Drosophila melanogaster: one gene and its partners. The protein of the gene in region 1 interacts with the protein of each later gene in a pairwise test. Each region holds a gene or a part of one and is shown on either strand. Other genes may lie near its edges.

Evidence for each region.
Region 2: the proteins of CG7264 (region 1) and CG15646 interact in a two-hybrid assay, tested with the Drosophila melanogaster proteins (one large-scale study listed by BioGRID).
Region 3: the proteins of CG7264 (region 1) and CG31909 interact in a two-hybrid assay, tested with the Drosophila melanogaster proteins (one large-scale study listed by BioGRID).
Region 4: the proteins of CG7264 (region 1) and CG10375 interact in a two-hybrid assay, tested with the Drosophila melanogaster proteins (one large-scale study listed by BioGRID).

Annotation. Positions count from the first base shown.
Region 1 is NT_037436.4:11,827,215-11,831,388, forward strand, and holds CG7264 (uncharacterized protein), read left to right. Parts: upstream 1-1,815; 5' UTR 1,816-1,975; intron 1,976-2,034; 5' UTR 2,035-2,220; coding exon 2,221-2,346; intron 2,347-2,402; coding exon 2,403-3,422; 3' UTR 3,423-3,630; downstream 3,631-4,174. Other genes in the region: CycA (cyclin A), read right to left, coding at 438-591, 656-903, 974-1,178, 1,247-1,470.
Region 2 is NC_004354.4:15,667,381-15,672,824, reverse strand, and holds CG15646 (uncharacterized protein), read left to right. Parts: upstream 1-1,795; 5' UTR 1,796-2,041; intron 2,042-3,027; exon of another isoform or gene 3,028-3,374; intron 3,375-3,489; 5' UTR 3,490-3,530; coding exon 3,531-4,763; 3' UTR 4,764-4,940; downstream 4,941-5,444.
Region 3 is NT_033779.5:7,255,632-7,258,698, reverse strand, and holds CG31909 (uncharacterized protein), read right to left. Parts: upstream 1,188-3,067; 5' UTR 1,135-1,187; exon of another isoform or gene 1,062-1,134; intron 1,003-1,061; 5' UTR 968-1,002; coding exon 584-967; 3' UTR 501-583; downstream 1-500. Other genes in the region: Wnt4 (Wnt oncogene analog 4), read left to right, coding at 1,439-1,937, 2,012-2,239, 2,453-2,695.
Region 4 is NT_033777.3:23,765,670-23,769,484, forward strand, and holds CG10375 (uncharacterized protein), read left to right. Parts: upstream 1-2,042; 5' UTR 2,043-2,132; coding exon 2,133-2,201; intron 2,202-2,339; coding exon 2,340-2,660; intron 2,661-2,729; exon of another isoform or gene 2,730-2,787; coding exon 2,788-3,162; 3' UTR 3,163-3,315; downstream 3,316-3,815. Other genes in the region: Lsd-1 (lipid storage droplet-1), read left to right, coding at 1-27, 207-397, 461-638, 705-854; CG10214 (uncharacterized protein), read right to left, coding at 1,094-1,729; tst (twister), read right to left, coding at 3,371-3,574, 3,640-3,815.

The DNA of each region.
Region 1 (4,174 bases):
TTCAATTTATAAACACGAAAACATACATACTTAACATAAAGAGGTTGAAATATAAAATATCGTTAGCATAAGCAGCACTAATATGTTGTGTCCGGTGGCTTCCTCCAATTTCAATTGGCTAATCGGATAGTTTTTAAGACTGCCGAAGTTCTTACTGCTCCCGCTTGGCATGACAAGCTCTCACCGTGGACAGACGCGAATGTTGTTAAGCGCGTATATTTTGGCAACTATCTTTTATATGGCTTACATATAAAATTGTCCGGCACTTGCAACGGGAGCTTGTCAATCGGCCAACCAATGCGAAGCTTTTATACGACTGGCTGACTGCGACCGAACTGCAATTGATCCATTGTGTACACTTATAACTAAAACTACATAATGTTACATGGAAACACTAAACTAATATACAATTTGGCCATGACAGCGGCTCAAAACACTTAAAACTTATAAAACAAATTCACGTTCGATTTAGTATTAATATCCGGCTGCTGGTGCTCATCCTCTTTCTGCTTGCAATTGTAAGCCTCACAGAGCTGATCGAAGTCGTCCTTGCTCATCTCAACGGATTCCATCATAGCCACCTTCTTGTAACTGTTAAGAAATACATTTGGTCAACACGGGCTCATTCTTCGGCTATCTAGTGTTTGCGACTTACGTGTCTCTATTGTACTTTTCCCGCATGGCCTGCGTGTTGAGCTCCTTTGCCGTTTTGTGGGTGTGACACAGATGCAACACAACCGTTTTTAGGTCCTCCAGCTTGTAAGTCGTGATCTCCTCCAGCCTTGGCGTCCACATCTCCATGCCCAAAATGTGACGCGCCAGTGCGACTGAAGCGGATGACATAAGTGATGGCAAATATTGCAAGTACGTTTCTCCCTCCATGAGCGACAACTCGGAAATATACTGTGTCAGGTAAACATTAAGTTAAGTTTCGGCTTTGTTTCTTTTTTCTTTTGTATTGGCAATAGCTTACCAGCGTCATGTACTTCAGCTTCTCAGGCATGTCGCAAAGTACAGCATAGGTGTTGATGAAGACGTAAGCAGTCGGTGTGCACAGATCGAAGGAGAGAATCTTCAAGATAACCTGCTCCATGCGTAGCACCTGCGCCTTGGTGTAACTGTCGTCGGTGAGGAAGACAAACTCACCGACCTCTGGGGGATAGATTTCCTCGTATTTTCTGAAAAATAAAAAAATAAACCCCATGAATACACACACCATTATTACCGGACTATCAAGAATACTTACGCGGCAATATACATAGCTGCCGTGCCCACCAGCTGTAACTTGGAGCGCACCACCGCCATTTGGCTCAAAAATCGATCTAGATAAAAGACCGAGAGATAGAGCGTCTCCGTGTCCAGTTTGTACTCCTCGGAAACCTCAACCAGCCAATCAATAAGGATGGAGCGCATATTGTGGCTAATGTCCTTCTGTCTGCGCATATAGAGTGGCTTGGGGCGATGTTTCTTCTGGAAGATGCAAACACATGCAAACAAATGATTAGAAACCGATTAGATTACCCGGCCTAACAAAAATTACTAAGCCAAACTTTTAATACTTTAGGTTAGGATTCGCATATATATAGCTTATGCCTTTTCTACACTCTAATCTGGCAACCAACTACCCGTTCCCAGTTTCATCTTAAGAAGGTGTCAAAAATGTACAAATTTCACGGGAGAAAAAGCCGTACAGTCATCAAATCAAGCGTATAAATACCATAGGAGAAGTGGCAAACAACAGCTGGGGGAGGGAGTTAACCGATTTTTATTTATTTATTGGTTATTTCGTAGTACGTGAGTCGCATCGAAATTCCCAGTTCGAACTTAAATTTCTTTGCCAAACACCTACATATATGTACATATATATGGGCAATATGTACATTAGGTGATTATTTTATGGTCGCTTTAACGATTATTGGAACCGTCAAGCGACTCGAGCTGCAAAAATTAAAGAATTCGATTGACATGAATATATGTACATACATCAGCATTTGTTTTATATTAAGGCAGTTAACTCCCATGAAATTATTATAGATATATGTAAATAGTCTGTAACTAGTAGGTTACAGAGGTAGTAGTAGAGGCAAACAATAAACAAAGCACCCAGCAACCGGGCAAACAAAGTCAACTCAGGCATATATCCACATCCTACTAACAAGAAGAGACAGACATATCGACCTCGAATACAGTTGAACATCTTTTATAACTAACTCCGGCACAATGACGCTCAAAATCGGTATATGCACCAAGCAGGATCTCGACGAGGCGATGAAGCTGCAGAAGCGGGAGCAGTACGAAGATGAGCGGAAGCGGCGCATTTTTAATGCCAAACAGCGTCTTTACGGGGTAAGTATGCATCTGCAGACTGGGTGAGCTTCATTGCCGAATATTCCTATTCACAGCTCGACCTAGAAATGCTGGATCGCCAAATACTTGAGAAAAAGAAGCAGCGAACCGCCCAGATGGAGTGCGACAAGAAATTTGAAGAACAGGAGCAGCTGCAGAAGCGTCTGATCCTGGCCCAGGAAATGGAGTTGGAGAAAAAACAGCGTGTGGTGGACTCGGATCTTAACTATTATCGCTGCCGCTATCAGCGCAAGGAGCAGCGCCGCGAATTCGACCTAAATGATCCGAATTTCTTGAAGAAGGCACGTCCAACAAGAGTCGCCGACAATGACATTTCGCTGGGCGTGTCCAGTGCCCAGATCTTTCAAGGCGAGGACCTCTATAACTCTGACAGAAAGCAGCGGCAGCGGGAGCAGCAAAGAGCCTGGCTGGATCAGCAAGTGCAGGAGCGTAAGAGGGCGGAGGATGCTCGCAAGCAGGCCGATAATGTGTTGATGGACAACGTTGGTTGCAGAGACAAGCATCTGCAGGAGATGGCCAAGTCTGATCACCAGATGCGCAACCAAGTCATCCAGCGAGTGCGTCAGTTCAATATCAACATGGCCAAGCAGAAGCAATTGGACCGCGAAAGGGAAAAGCGTGAAAAGTACGAGGATGACATGGCCGAGATCTATAACATGCTCTCCAGCGATATGCTAACTGAAAATCCGGATGTGGCTCAATCGCGCACCGATCCGAACAAGAAGATTGCCTTCATGTATCGCGGCATGACGCCCGAAGAACTTCGCGTGTTTCGTCTTGGACAAGATCAGCAGCTTCGTTTGTCTATTCAGCGCAAGACGGAGGCCCAGATGATGGACAAACAGTGGGAGCAATACTCCATTAATATGGACCGCACCCTGGTCCTTCACCAAATCGAGGATGATCGCCGACGTAAGGCGGAATTCGATGAGCTGATGCGGGCGAATTCCAAGTTGGCCGTGGAGCAGGATCGCCAGCGCAAGGAAGCCCTTGTGGGCCTAACCAATGCCGTCTCCGATGACTTTTACGATCAGTTCAACAAGAACTCACGTTAGTGGGATTGTATTGAAGTTCCCAACCAAGACGATTCGAGAATAATGAGCTGGATGCGATTAGAAAGCTGCCTCACTTTCTTGTGCAGCAACTTTCCATAGGCGTCCAGAACATTGTACTATTTTAAAAATACAATCTTTGTTGGGAATCTTCACGACGAAATTATAATGTTCATGTTGGAAACAAAGCATTTCAAATATTTAAAAATTTAAAAAAAAAAAAAGACAAAAACCCATCTCTAGTAAAAACTGAAATATCAAGGGAAAATAAAGAATACGCCCATTCTGGACAAAACCTAATCCTTGTGTTGTTGTTTTGTATTATTTAATGTTGTTTTCGAGTTTTGTAATTTAACTATCGATTTTAAAATATTTTTAAATTTTTTTTATTTGTTTTGGTTTTCTAGTTTTTTAAATTCTTTATCAATTTTAAAACTTTTTTGGTTTTAATTTTTTTTTTAGTTTTTAAACTTATTTTAATTTTTAATCTTTTATTTACTAACGTAGGAAACAAACTACAATAGTAGTCAACCTCCCTCTGCAAGTCGAATTCCATTGGTACCCCGAGTGTTCTACGACTTTGGACGAATGAGAAAAAGAGAGTCAACAACAACGACAAAGGATGAGACGGACGCAGACAGACAAGCGTTTCGCTTCCCGCCCAACAAACATGTGCCCGCGAGCGGGAATAAGTGTACCCATGAACCCATAAAGAGGCAGCGTTGCGTGAAGGGAATGCCAACGGAGGGTGCGAC
Region 2 (5,444 bases), on another chromosome or scaffold:
GAAGTTTCCGCATAATCTTAATAAAATATGTGCCCATAAATCTAAACTAATGTATATCCTTTTCCTCTCTGTGCAGGATCCCATTCCGCTGGCCATCGTTGGAGAAACGTGCGGCGGCAAGGACATCTAGATAAAGTGAAAAGTGGGTAGGGAAAAGGTAATCTTGAATCACAAGCCGCACACTGATAGCGCCAGGACAGAGCGGCCGAGTTTTGAGGAAATCCGAGGAATCACACATAGGGACCCACAATGCACAATCCTTGGGCCGGACAGCTGTTCGCTCGGGGATTAGCACGGCTAGGCGAGCTCCTCTGCTCCCTCACCTTCTGCTTCTGCTTTCTCTCATTACTTTCGCCGGCGGGGCGCGCAAAATTATTAAAACCTGGCCCTGAATTATGGGCCATAATTTAGAATTTGTATTTGCTCAGAGCTTCCCTCTGGCTCCTTCGTCCTTCGTCCTTCTTCCTTCGATTTCCACTGCTTTCCCTTTTCTTCCGCTTTCCCACTCGATATGCCTGGCGGGCAATGGCAGGGGGTGGGGTTTGGTATTGGTGTGTCTGTGTGTGTTCACAGGACCCAGATCCTTTGATTGATTTGGGATCGCCGTGAAAAGCTGGCATCCATTGACAGGCAGGCACTTCAAGGACCAGAGGCTCTCGGATCGGCTTATTTGCCCAGGATCATGCGAAATGCCATGGAAAAGGATCTGCAGATCAATAGGTGATGCGAAACACAGGGAATAATTGGATCTGGCTAGGGAAGACTATATGGCGTATTGTTTAGACTGATTCTATTGTCAGTGCCTTGAATTTGGTATTTCGCAGCCTTAAATATTAAACATATTCGATTAATTCATAAATGATCAAAGTCGAAAGCATCAAGGATAAGTAATTTTGCATAAGGAAACTGCTTTTAAAGTTCTCATTAAAATATAGTATATATTTTCAGACTTACCGAATCCGCAGGATATAATTCTAAAAGTCACTCCTGACATCTTGCCAAACACTTCCCAAAATCAAATCTCAATCAATTTCGGAACATGTATATCAATCGCACAAATGATGATGGCCCAATGGAAGGTCCCTTGTGGGCCATTAATATTATATATGCCGATCGTTAGCCGGAGCATTTGTCAAGCATTATACGATGGAAATCCAAACTTGACAAATGCCAAGTGAAATGCCATGTGAGATGAATTGGAATGCAAAGCATTCGATTTCAATATCAACCCGATCGCTCCCGCTCCGGGGGGTGGGACGAGTTCAAATTGCCGGGCTAGTGGTGGTGCTACACTAGGTTTTCAAGTTCAGTCCAAGGGAATGTCCTTTCCGAGTCCCGAAATTCCTCAGCAGTCAACAGGGGAGAGAAATCGGGAGAGCGAACGAACGGCAATCTCACCTTCAATATTGAAAGGTGCTGTTGAAAAGGTGGTGGTTCCATTAGTACACTGTCAAAAAAGACTGTAGTTCAATACTTTTAAATGAACTAAAAATATGTAATAATCAACTATGATATATATTTAGGATATATTTCATTTGTATACAAAATTCCTAAATGTTATCTTTATGTGTGCATAAAACAAATTCGTAAATAGTTATCAAAATCTGTTTCAAATAGTTGGGTATCTTCTCATTCAAAAATCTGTAATACATTTAAAATATTTTGTATAGCTGGTCCCAAAGTACAACATATTTGTTTTCAGTGTGCCTCGTGAGACCGGGTTTCAAGCTCTGCGAGGTGAGCACGCAACGTTTGCGTGCGAGGGTAGAATTAGTCACTTTTCGTCTGTTGCAGCGACAGGACGTGTATTTCTCTGCGATCGCGAGCAGGAAATAAATTTCAAAATTTACAATTTTGATTTCCCAACACCCGTCTCGTTACGCCTATTTTCATTTTTTTTTTAAACGTGCAAAGAAAAAATACCACAAAATTTTATATTATTTTTCATTGTGAAACGAAGCAATTTCTGAACTTTGGATACCCCAAAAAAAAAAAAACGAAGAACGCGAAAAATTCCAAAAAAATATATACAAATAAAAAGGTAAAGATAAGTGAAGTGCATGAAATGGAAAACGAAAAGCCAGTGTGCATATTTTCGGGCTAAATGTGCATTAAAAATGCATTAAAGCAGAAGTGTCTGGGGCAGCGGGGTTTAATTAAAAACACCCCATTAAAATCGCCTAAAAACGTATAAATTGTGCGCGTGCGATTTTGGGTTATGTTTTGCTGGGTTTTAGCTCCTGCGTTTTGGTTTTGAGCTTGGGCAATGGGATATGGGCAATGGGCTATGGGTTAATGGGTTTTCGAACTCGGGCCACTTGGCCCAAGTGCTCGAGTGCTCTTCAGACCAAAACGAGAGCGGCGGCTGCAAAATGCGCAAAAATGCTAGCACGCACGTACATATCCCGGAATCGAGTAGATGAGCGAAATCGCTCACTCCTGCGGATCCCCCCTTATCGCCATCACTCCTCGAGTGGCCGGAGATCGACACCACTGGAGGATGGGGCAGAGGAATGGGAGTAGGACGAGGCAACAGAGTGTGCCGGCAGCACCACCATTTTGCCCAAGTTCACACGGCAAAAAATATATATGTTCTCCCAGCCACACTTTTTTTATCACTTGAATCTTCAGTCTCAAAATCATGCAGCTCAACAAATTTACTATTCAAAATGAATAATAATTATATTAGTAACTTTCTTGGCGAACTTAGTTCCCAAAATTTCTATTGATTTGCAAATTTAATGAAATGGTATATTGGACCGCTAATTTCTAATTTGACTATCAAGGGCTTTGCTTAAATATTTTATTTTTATAGTAAAGAATGTTGTAAACATTTTTCATTTCTATTGAAATTTGAATAGCTTATTGCTTTTATAATTTAATCGGGTACTAAATCTGGAACCAATTTTAATATCTTCTTTATTGTAACAAAGCCATTTAGATGCCAAATAATTCCCCAGATTCTGAAATTATTTGAACAATAGTTCAATCAGTTAAAAAATAATATAAATAAAATGTATAGATATTCCGATTTTTGCGCATAAATCCCCAAATTCCTGCCTGATTTTGGGTGATAATTTCTCCCTGTGCCGGCACACCACCCGAGCACACGATACGCGAGGCAGAACCTTGGGCTAAATCGCAGCTGGAGGGCAGTGCGTTGGTATGGCGAACAGGAGCGAACCGGAGGCCCAGAAAATCGCGAAGCTTTAGCGCGCTTTTCCTTTGTTCCCGGGCTCTTTGTGCCGGCTCAATTGTTCGCAAGGATATGCGGAACCAGAAACTCCTTGCGGAAATCGGGAAGCTGGCGTTCAGCTGTGCGAATCCTTGGCGAAATCCCAAGCAGGCCCCTGTGCAAACTCGTTTCGCTACAAGTTAGTCGGGTTTTTGCTCTGTTTTTGCTTTTTTTTTTTGCAATTCCATTCTGCTTGAGAAGCTTTGCAAATAGACAATCGCTAACTAGCCCTATCCTTTTTGCCACTTTTCCAGATATCTTGGCACCGCAGGAGCGACAGACAGCAGCTGCCAGGATGCTCAAGTGGGCTGTCAACCAGCCGCGAAACTCGTATCTGGCCAAGGAGCTGGCCATGGGATCGCAAACAGGATCGGAATCGGGATCGGGATCAGGATCTCTCGAGCAGAAGGCCGAAGTGGTGGGCTCCAGCTACAGCGAGTTCCACGCCCTGCGTGGCAAACTCAAGAGGAAGTCGATCGGAGTGGCGCCAGGCAAGGAGAACCAGCTGACCTCCACGCCGCTGCCGGCCAGCTCCTTGAGCCTCCATGCTCGCACACCACTGCTCAAGGACCTCAGCAACATCCTGGCCACGCCGCCATCGGGAGGAGCAAGTGGCGCTAGTGGGGCAACTGGAGGAGCAGCTGCTGTTCCCCTGAAGTTCGCCTGCACACTGCCCACCTTCGAGGCGGAGTACTCGCCCAATGCCGCCATCATTCCTGGCTCCCTGATCGCCCTGCGCGGCATGGGCATCCCGGACAGCTACTTCGAGAAGCCGCGCTACCTGGAGCAGAAGCCACTACCACATCCGCATCCCCATCCGCATCCAGCTCCTCCGATCGGCGAACAGAATACGCTCAGTTCCAGCCAGATGGGCGATGTGACCCTGGAGCGTATGATCGATGCCATCCTCGAGAGCAACCGCAAGGTGCTGCCCAACGCCAGACAGCAACAGCACCAGCATCAGCACCGCCAGCCCAGGCAGCATCTCCGCCAGCGGCACAGGCTCAGGCAGCAGGTGCTCCGGAGCAGCCACGGACACGGGCACGGGCACGGCTCCACCCAGACGCCATCGCCCACCTACCGCCCCGCCTTCGATCCGGCCAGCGATCTGTGCGAGTACTGGAAGTCGCCCTCGCGGAGGGATTCCCTGCCAGCGGAGGGCTTCGAGGAGCGGGAGGTGCGCTCCCCCGTGCCCACCGAATCCGAATCGCAGGATGCCAAGCGGCATTCCCTGCAGCTGCGCAGGCAGCGGGTGGTGCGGCGCAAGCGAAAGATCACCACCAAGATCTCCTCCAGCGTCAGGCAGTCGGCGCAGAAGCTGCTCGCAGCGGCCAGGTCCGGATCTGCAGTGCCCAGCCAGCGGTTCGCCCAGAAGAGGCGCCACATTAGCCCGGACAGTGGGCACAACTCGACCAGCGATTTTGAGGAGGAGCTGGTGGCCATGGGATCATGCGGCGGGCGGGTGGAGGCGGTTACCAAGCGGCGGCTGAGCTTCTCCTACGCCGAGGATCTGTTCGTGGAGAAGTGACCCAATGCGGGTCATGTCCATATGTTGATTTTTGACTTCTGTTTGGTTATAACCTAAACCTTTTTTTTTTTTTTGAGTGGCTAAAAGCGCAGCATTGCCTTGGAATACGAATGTTGAAACAGATCCTATAATTACCTAAGAATCCTTTTTTTTTCTGACAAATAAAAAACCGATTTGAAAAACTAGTTGAATTGCGAATTTATTATTCCTAATATCCTAAAAAAGGAAAGTTCGATTTGTTACCATTAAATATGAACATTTAATTCTTAAAAGGATGTAAAGATCATTTTGCCGCGTAAACGCAATTGGGTCCTTGTTAGCGTTAGATAAGTACAACCATTAATTAGAGATAAACTGTCTTCTACGTGGGGATTACTTGGCAATATTTCAGAGGCAATATTCTAGAGTTGAAGTTAAACTGGATTCTCACGTTCCGCCCATGAATTCATCACCGTCGACCTTTCATTTCCAACCGGCGAGCTGGCAGGATATGCTGGATAATATGCACTGAGCTAGAGGGTGCGGGAGTAACAGTTGTGGTAGTAAAAATGTTGCGGCATATCCTGCGAGTCCTTTACACGGCACTTATCACGCACCTGTGCACCACCAAATGGCGAACCACCAACAACTACAAACGACAAACGACAGGCTACAAAACGGTGGGCATTTGCATAAATTTGC
Region 3 (3,067 bases), on another chromosome or scaffold:
CGAAATAACTGGAAACAGATATGGCATGGGAAACCAATTCAAGGGAAATTCCTTCTGCTATTTCTAGAAAACTGATAAGAGAAGGCCATACTAGCATGTGTGTTGTAACTTTTGATAAATCAAATAAAAGTTTCTCATGTGCCGGTTTATTATTAGCAGTAAAAACTTTGTAGTTCAGAATTTCGATTGTGCAATCCTAAGGTTGGTGGTTGCTAATTAATTAATTTAATAAATTTAATTTAATTATTATTATTAATTAATTATTAAGTGTTCAAATGACATATTGGTTTAACTAAGTAGGCGCACAAAATTTAAATTCTCTTTGAAACGGTATTTTTACCGATTGCTCGCACACAAAGCTTCATACAAGTTCTGCTAGATGGCGCACTGGGCGCTGAAATCTGTGTAAAAATCATCTGCAAGCCAAAGATAGGTGTCGCTTTAATAGAAATCCGAATCCAATATACCTGTTATACTTGTAGAGTAAAAGAATAACGGGTACCTGTTTCTTTTATTATTTTTTAACCATAAAAAATAAAGTAACACCCGAATTTTTTTACATTTTTCAAATCCCACCTGTCCGTCAAAGCATATTCATCGAACCTTCAAAAGCGTCTACTTCATCCAGTAAATCTATATTGTCCCTTATAATAGTTGAATCCCTGATTTCGTTTAAATATTTTGGGTTCTCTACGATTTCTCTATATAATTTCTGTAGATCGCTCTTCAATTTATAGAAAAAGTTAGTTAACTTTTTCTCTTCTTCGAGAGAACGACCGCTTTCAGTGTCGACAGTGTCCAAATATTCATAAGTCTCAATATGGCTGGGAGTAGTGCCATCAATTAAGTGATTTAGCTCATCCGCCATTGAAGAAAATTCTTTTAAATATTTATCTTGCAGAGCTCTCTCTACTCGTAGTTGGTTCTGAAGTTCCGATTTGTTAGTATTGGAAAACGAGGGTTCCATTTTTTTTGTTGGTGATGGTGACAGCACCTTGTTGTCTGGCAATTATATGAGCTTAGATATAACAATGGTCAGTTCATTCTGTGTTCATACGTACCAAGAATCTTATTTTGTTTAAAATCAGAAAAATATTTTTTTATGTTAAGATCGAACCTCACTTTCTCACTCACCTCACTCACCGCACTATATAAGTTTTCTGACTGTAGGGTCTATTTGGACTTGACACTTAACACAACTGCCTCTCCGTTCGAAATTTTCCCTTACTCGTAGAGTAAAAGTGCATACTAGATTAGAAAGAATTTTGCGTTCCCACTAGCTGAGTAAGGGCTTTCTAATAGTCGGGGAGTTCGACTATAGAATTCTCTCTTTTTTATAATAAAAACGTAATTTAATTGTGGTATAGCTCTAAAAAGGACTTTTAAGAATACCTTTACCTTTTCTTATGAAAAATTTCGAATACTTTATGTCTGCCAGCGAACACTTCATTTCGGAGCACACGGTGATGGCGGTGTTCACTTCGCAGGGCCAAGTGGGTGGACCCTGCAGATACATGCCTGCCACGCGGCGTCAGAACCACCAGTGTCGCAAGGAGACGGGATTGCCGGGAACCCTTAGCGAGGCCCGCCGTCTGGCCACCACCCACTGCGAGGAACAGTTCCGCTACGACCGCTGGAACTGCTCGATCGAGACGCGCGGAAAGCGGAACATCTTCAAGAAGCTCTACAAGGAGACTGCCTTCGTCCACGCGCTCACAGCGGCCGCCATGACCCACTCGATAGCCAGGGCCTGTGCCGAGGGACGTATGACCAAGTGCAGCTGCGGGCCAAAAAAGCACAACAGGGAGGCGCAGGACTTCCAGTGGGGCGGCTGCAATGACAATCTGAAGCACGGCAAGCGGGTGACACGCAGCTTCCTGGACTTGCGCGGTGGTGATGGTGACGAGGTCAGCGAGATATTGCGACATGACTCAGAGGTAAAGAGATATATTTTAAGGAGCAGAAGGAGATATTTTATAGAATACCTGTGCTAATTAAACTTTCTTTTCAGGTCGGCATCGAAGCTGTCTCCTCGCAGATGATGGACAAGTGCAAGTGCCACGGCGTCTCCGGCTCCTGTTCGATGAAAACTTGCTGGAAGAAGATGGCCGACTTCAATGCCACAGCCACGCTCTTGAGGCAAAAGTACAACGAGGCCATTCGCAAGGCGCCAAACCAGCGATCAATGCGACAGGTGTCATCGAGTCGCATGAAAAAACCAAAGCAGCGACGCAAGAAAGTAAGTTCTTCAAAGAAAAGTAGAGTAGATGTAGAATTATATGTAGAATACATTCGAAAAGGTAGATCTATAACGGGAATTGGTTTCTATGGAGAAAAGGGTATCTGATAGTCGAGGTAGTCCATCTTTATGTTTAGACTTTTAACCACAAAAGACTTTGTTAATATTTTAGAACCTAAACTTAAAAAACTAATAAGTAATTTCCCTTTACAGCCCCAACAATCGCAATACACCACGCTGTACTATTTGGAGACCTCGCCCTCCTACTGCGCGGTCACCAAGGATCGGCAGTGCCTGCATCCGGACAACTGTGGCACCCTGTGCTGTGGGCGTGGCTACACCACCCAGGTGGTTAAGCAGGTGGAGAAGTGCCGGTGCCGGTTCAACAATGGACGGTGCTGTCAGCTGATCTGCGACTACTGCCAGCGGCTGGAGAACAAATACTTTTGTAAATAGACGGGGTGCCATCTCTCGCAGACTTTCTTTGCCCCGTCTCCGTCACTTTCTATCCCTCTACTGTGCTCTTTGAAAATGTAATTTGTAAAGTTTTTTTCTACCTTTATGGCTTGTAATTTTTTTCCATTCCTAACAAATATTACTGAAATGATAAGCAAAAAGAACGAATGCAGAACGATAGAGATCGATCAGAAAGCTAAGGCTTAGCTAAAGGCCAAACTCACCAGCTCACACACACACACACACATACTCAAATGCATAGACACACACAGTCACACAGACACACACAAGCGCATACATGCATCTATCTATTTAATTACTATATAATATATAGTAAACATTAGCTACCGTCGCAAAGAAAAAATCTCAAAA
Region 4 (3,815 bases), on another chromosome or scaffold:
CACGTGCTCTTCTATGCCGCAGAATTGGTCAGTAAAATTCAGTAACCTATTTGCTTTAATTTTTGAGTATCATTTGGTAAAAAAAAAAACCATAAGATTACAGTAACCAATTCAAATTACTTACGAAATGATTACGCAATGTCTGTTTGTATTCTGGTGTACAACCGTAACCCAAATAACACTTTTAAACGAAACCCATTCCACAGATTGCCACCGATCCCAAGCAGGCCGTTCAAAAGGCCAAGGAACTGTGGGTCTATCTCAGTGCAGATGAACCCGAAAATCAAGCGAGGCCCGCCACTCTGGAGCAGTTGATTGTGCTACTGACCCGCGAATCGGCTAGGCGTGTGGTTCATCTAGTGAACTTCAGTGCTCATGTGGCAGCCAACATACCCAGGTTGGTAGATCCCGCCTCCATCCTTATCTTTCCATGTGAACCCCTTCGAACCAAACCTTACAGAAACCTGGCGCACACGACAACAGAGGTTGCCCACCATATTATCTATATCAACCACCGCATCATCACAATCTCACGGCTGGACAAGGTTAAAACCATCTCCAAAGAGGAAGCTGAATCTCTTTTCAAGCGCATGCTGGCGTTCTATGGTAGCCTTCAGGGCCTGACCAATGCCTACCTGGTAAGAAAGGATGTGATACTAGCAGTCAGACGGAAGATGATTATATATATTAAATATATTCGACAGGAGCGCGTGGCCAGCTTTCTATCCGGACGCATGGAGGCCGAGAAGGTGACGGGCAGCGATGGCGGCAATTCCAACCACCGGTCATCGCGGAGGAGGCAGGATCCGAACCATTATTCAGCCACCCACAATAACATCAACGGCGTCTACTAGCATTGAATTCTTTATTGCTATCGTATTTTTATTTCTGTTTCTCCGTGCATATACGGAAAATACACTAAACGATATTGTACATCTATTTTTAACATAATGCATTTGTCAATAATATAAGCCTAACTTCACGCTTAACAATACAACGCGGACTTTTATCCAAAATTATTATAGACTCATATTGCCAATAAAGCATTAGGTATTGAAAGAATTCCTAGGGTGCTTTAAATTCTTGCTTTAATTTATTTAAATAAGTTCGCTTTGTAATACGCAAGCTCTTTGATGCTTTCTCGGATGTCGTCCAGACTACGATGCGTGAAAGATTTTTTGGGAGCGGAATCCAGAATTGCGGGATGCCATCGCTTGGCCAGTTCCTTGATGGTGGACACATCGACGATGCGGTAATGCAGGTAAGCATCTACCAATGGCATGAATTTCATAATGAATAGTCGGTCGGTGTAGACGGAGTTCCCACCAAGCGGACAGGCGCGCTTTGGTATGTTCTTCTCGAGATAGGATAGCACTAGATTGGAGGCTTCTTCGAGATTCACATCCGAGCTCTTGCATCGATCAATAAGACCTGAATTGTAATGATGTTTCATGCACCACTCGTTCATCGAGTCGTAGACCTCCTGCGGATGGTTGATGGCAAAGCATGGTCCCTCCGACTTCACGTTCAGGTCCTGGTCCGTAATGATGCAGGCCACCTCGAGGATTTTGTCCTTTTCAATGTCCAGCCCGGTCATCTCCAAGTCCATCCACACGATGTCCGTGTCTAAGCCACAGGTGCTGCTCATTCTGTCATTTGAATTGAATGCGATGTGGCTCCGAATTTGGCGGTTCAGGGACAATCCGACGCGTCGAAGGTGAGCAAGCATATATAGCTGTAGCGCAGGTTTCTTTTTGCTAAATGTAAATATGCGGCGGTTTTACCATGTGTTTGATAACATGGTATCGTTACGATAACAACTGGTCACACTACAGGCACATTGCCCAACACTGAAAGGGGGATTCCTGTCATTACAGGAACAAAACAAATCGAATATTATGTTCATACCCAAATAATTGCAGAATAATTTGTTCAGCATTCTTATTTGTATCCACCAAAGTCGAAAGTAATTGTAATTAAAGTTAAAGGTTTTATGCGATAACGACTTGGAGCCATTTTAACTACAGCGAACGGTAATTTCTAACAAACCGCGCACGGTCACTCTGTCGAGTTGATATTTTTATCAAAAATTGTTGTACGGAAAACGCAAAAGGTGTCGTTATTGTTGCAGCATGTCCTCCTCGTCGGCCAGAGACCAACCGGGAACCTCCCATGACAACTTCGAGGAATTCTACACAGAAGTAAGTGTGGCGGACGGAACCGCAGGCTCAGTTTTTATTCTACACTGGGTCGGGCTCCTTGCACGGCAGCCGCTCCAAATAAACTAAACCCTTGTTATTATGTACACTTTAGTAAATGATTTTGTGCCTATATTGCAGGTGAAAGAAATTGAAAAACGTGATTCAGTTTTAACTCCTTCTCAACAAATTGATCGTTTACTTCGTCCAGGTTCAACGTACTTCAATCTCAATCCGTTTGAGGTGCTCCAAATCGAGCCCGAGGTCGAATTGGCGGATATAAAAAAGCGATACCGCACCTTGTCAATCCTCGTCCATCCAGACAAGAATCCCGACAACCAGGAGCGCGCTCAAATGGCATTCGATATTGTGTCGCGTTCCTGGAAAATCCTCGAAAACGAACTCACGCGCAAAAGGTGTCTGGAGGTGTACGAGGAGGCAAAGGGGCGAACGGATCAAATGGTGAGTTCCAGTTCCTCGGAGCATTAAGCTCTATGATCGTCCGGCTTTAGAATAATTGAAAATCCAATTGCAATGGCACATTTTCTTTATTGTACTGTATTATATTAATTTGTTCGTTACCTTTCAGATTGCAGAAAAGCGTAAAAAGCTTAAAAAAGAGGGTCGGCCCACTGAGCCAATACCCGAGGACGATCCCACCAAGTACAAGCACGCCATCTACGTTATGGTCATGAAACTGTTTGCCGACATGGAGCGTCGACGGCAAAAGCTCGACCAACGCGACCAGGAGGAGCGAAAGCGAAAGCGCGAAACGGAAATCGAGGAGGAGGAGCGGATAAAGGCGGACCGCGAATGGCAGCAGAACTTCGAAGAGTCGCGCCAGAGCCGAGTAAACAGCTGGCATGACTTTCAGTCGGGTGCCGGCAAGTCCAAGAAAGCCAAGAAACAAAAACATATGACCGGCATGATGGTTCCACCAAAATTTAAGCCCGAGTCGCGATAATATAGCTTCCCAGCGCGGCGCCGCTCCTTCACTATCGCCAGATCACCTCCGCCAAACCGCGTCGCGTTGCACATGAATATTTTTACATTTTTTTTATAAGTATCCTTTGGAATTGTAATTGACACGTGCATAAAATATAGATGTAAGAAACACATTTCCGTCTTGCCTCTTTCCTTCTACAATGGATGGCTTGGACCATCTCCTTCGATCACAGTTCTGTGTACAAGGATGCGGTGAAAACAATATCGCGCTTGATAGCAGCCGACGCCTCCTCCATCTTCGACTGCAGTCCCGGATTGCCAATCCGAATGGCGGCCGTTTTAACATCACGCAGCGTTTCATTCAGCTGCTGAATGCAGCGAACAATGATGCCCTCCTGCACCGTCGTCAGTTTCATAATCTCAGCAAAGGGCTGTGAATTGGATTAAATGGACAGATATGAGGATAGGCAAAATTGCGTCCTACAGGGCTTCTTACCTTATTTCTAGCCCACTCGTAGACCACCTCCAGCAGACCAAAGTTCAGGCGATTATCGGTCTCGATGGCTGCCTGAAAGCGCTGCTCCTCGGCAAGAATTGTATCGTTGATCTGCTCAAATGCCGCCACGCACTCCTTCAACGCCTCTGGTATTACCGGCTTATCCTGCATCTTCG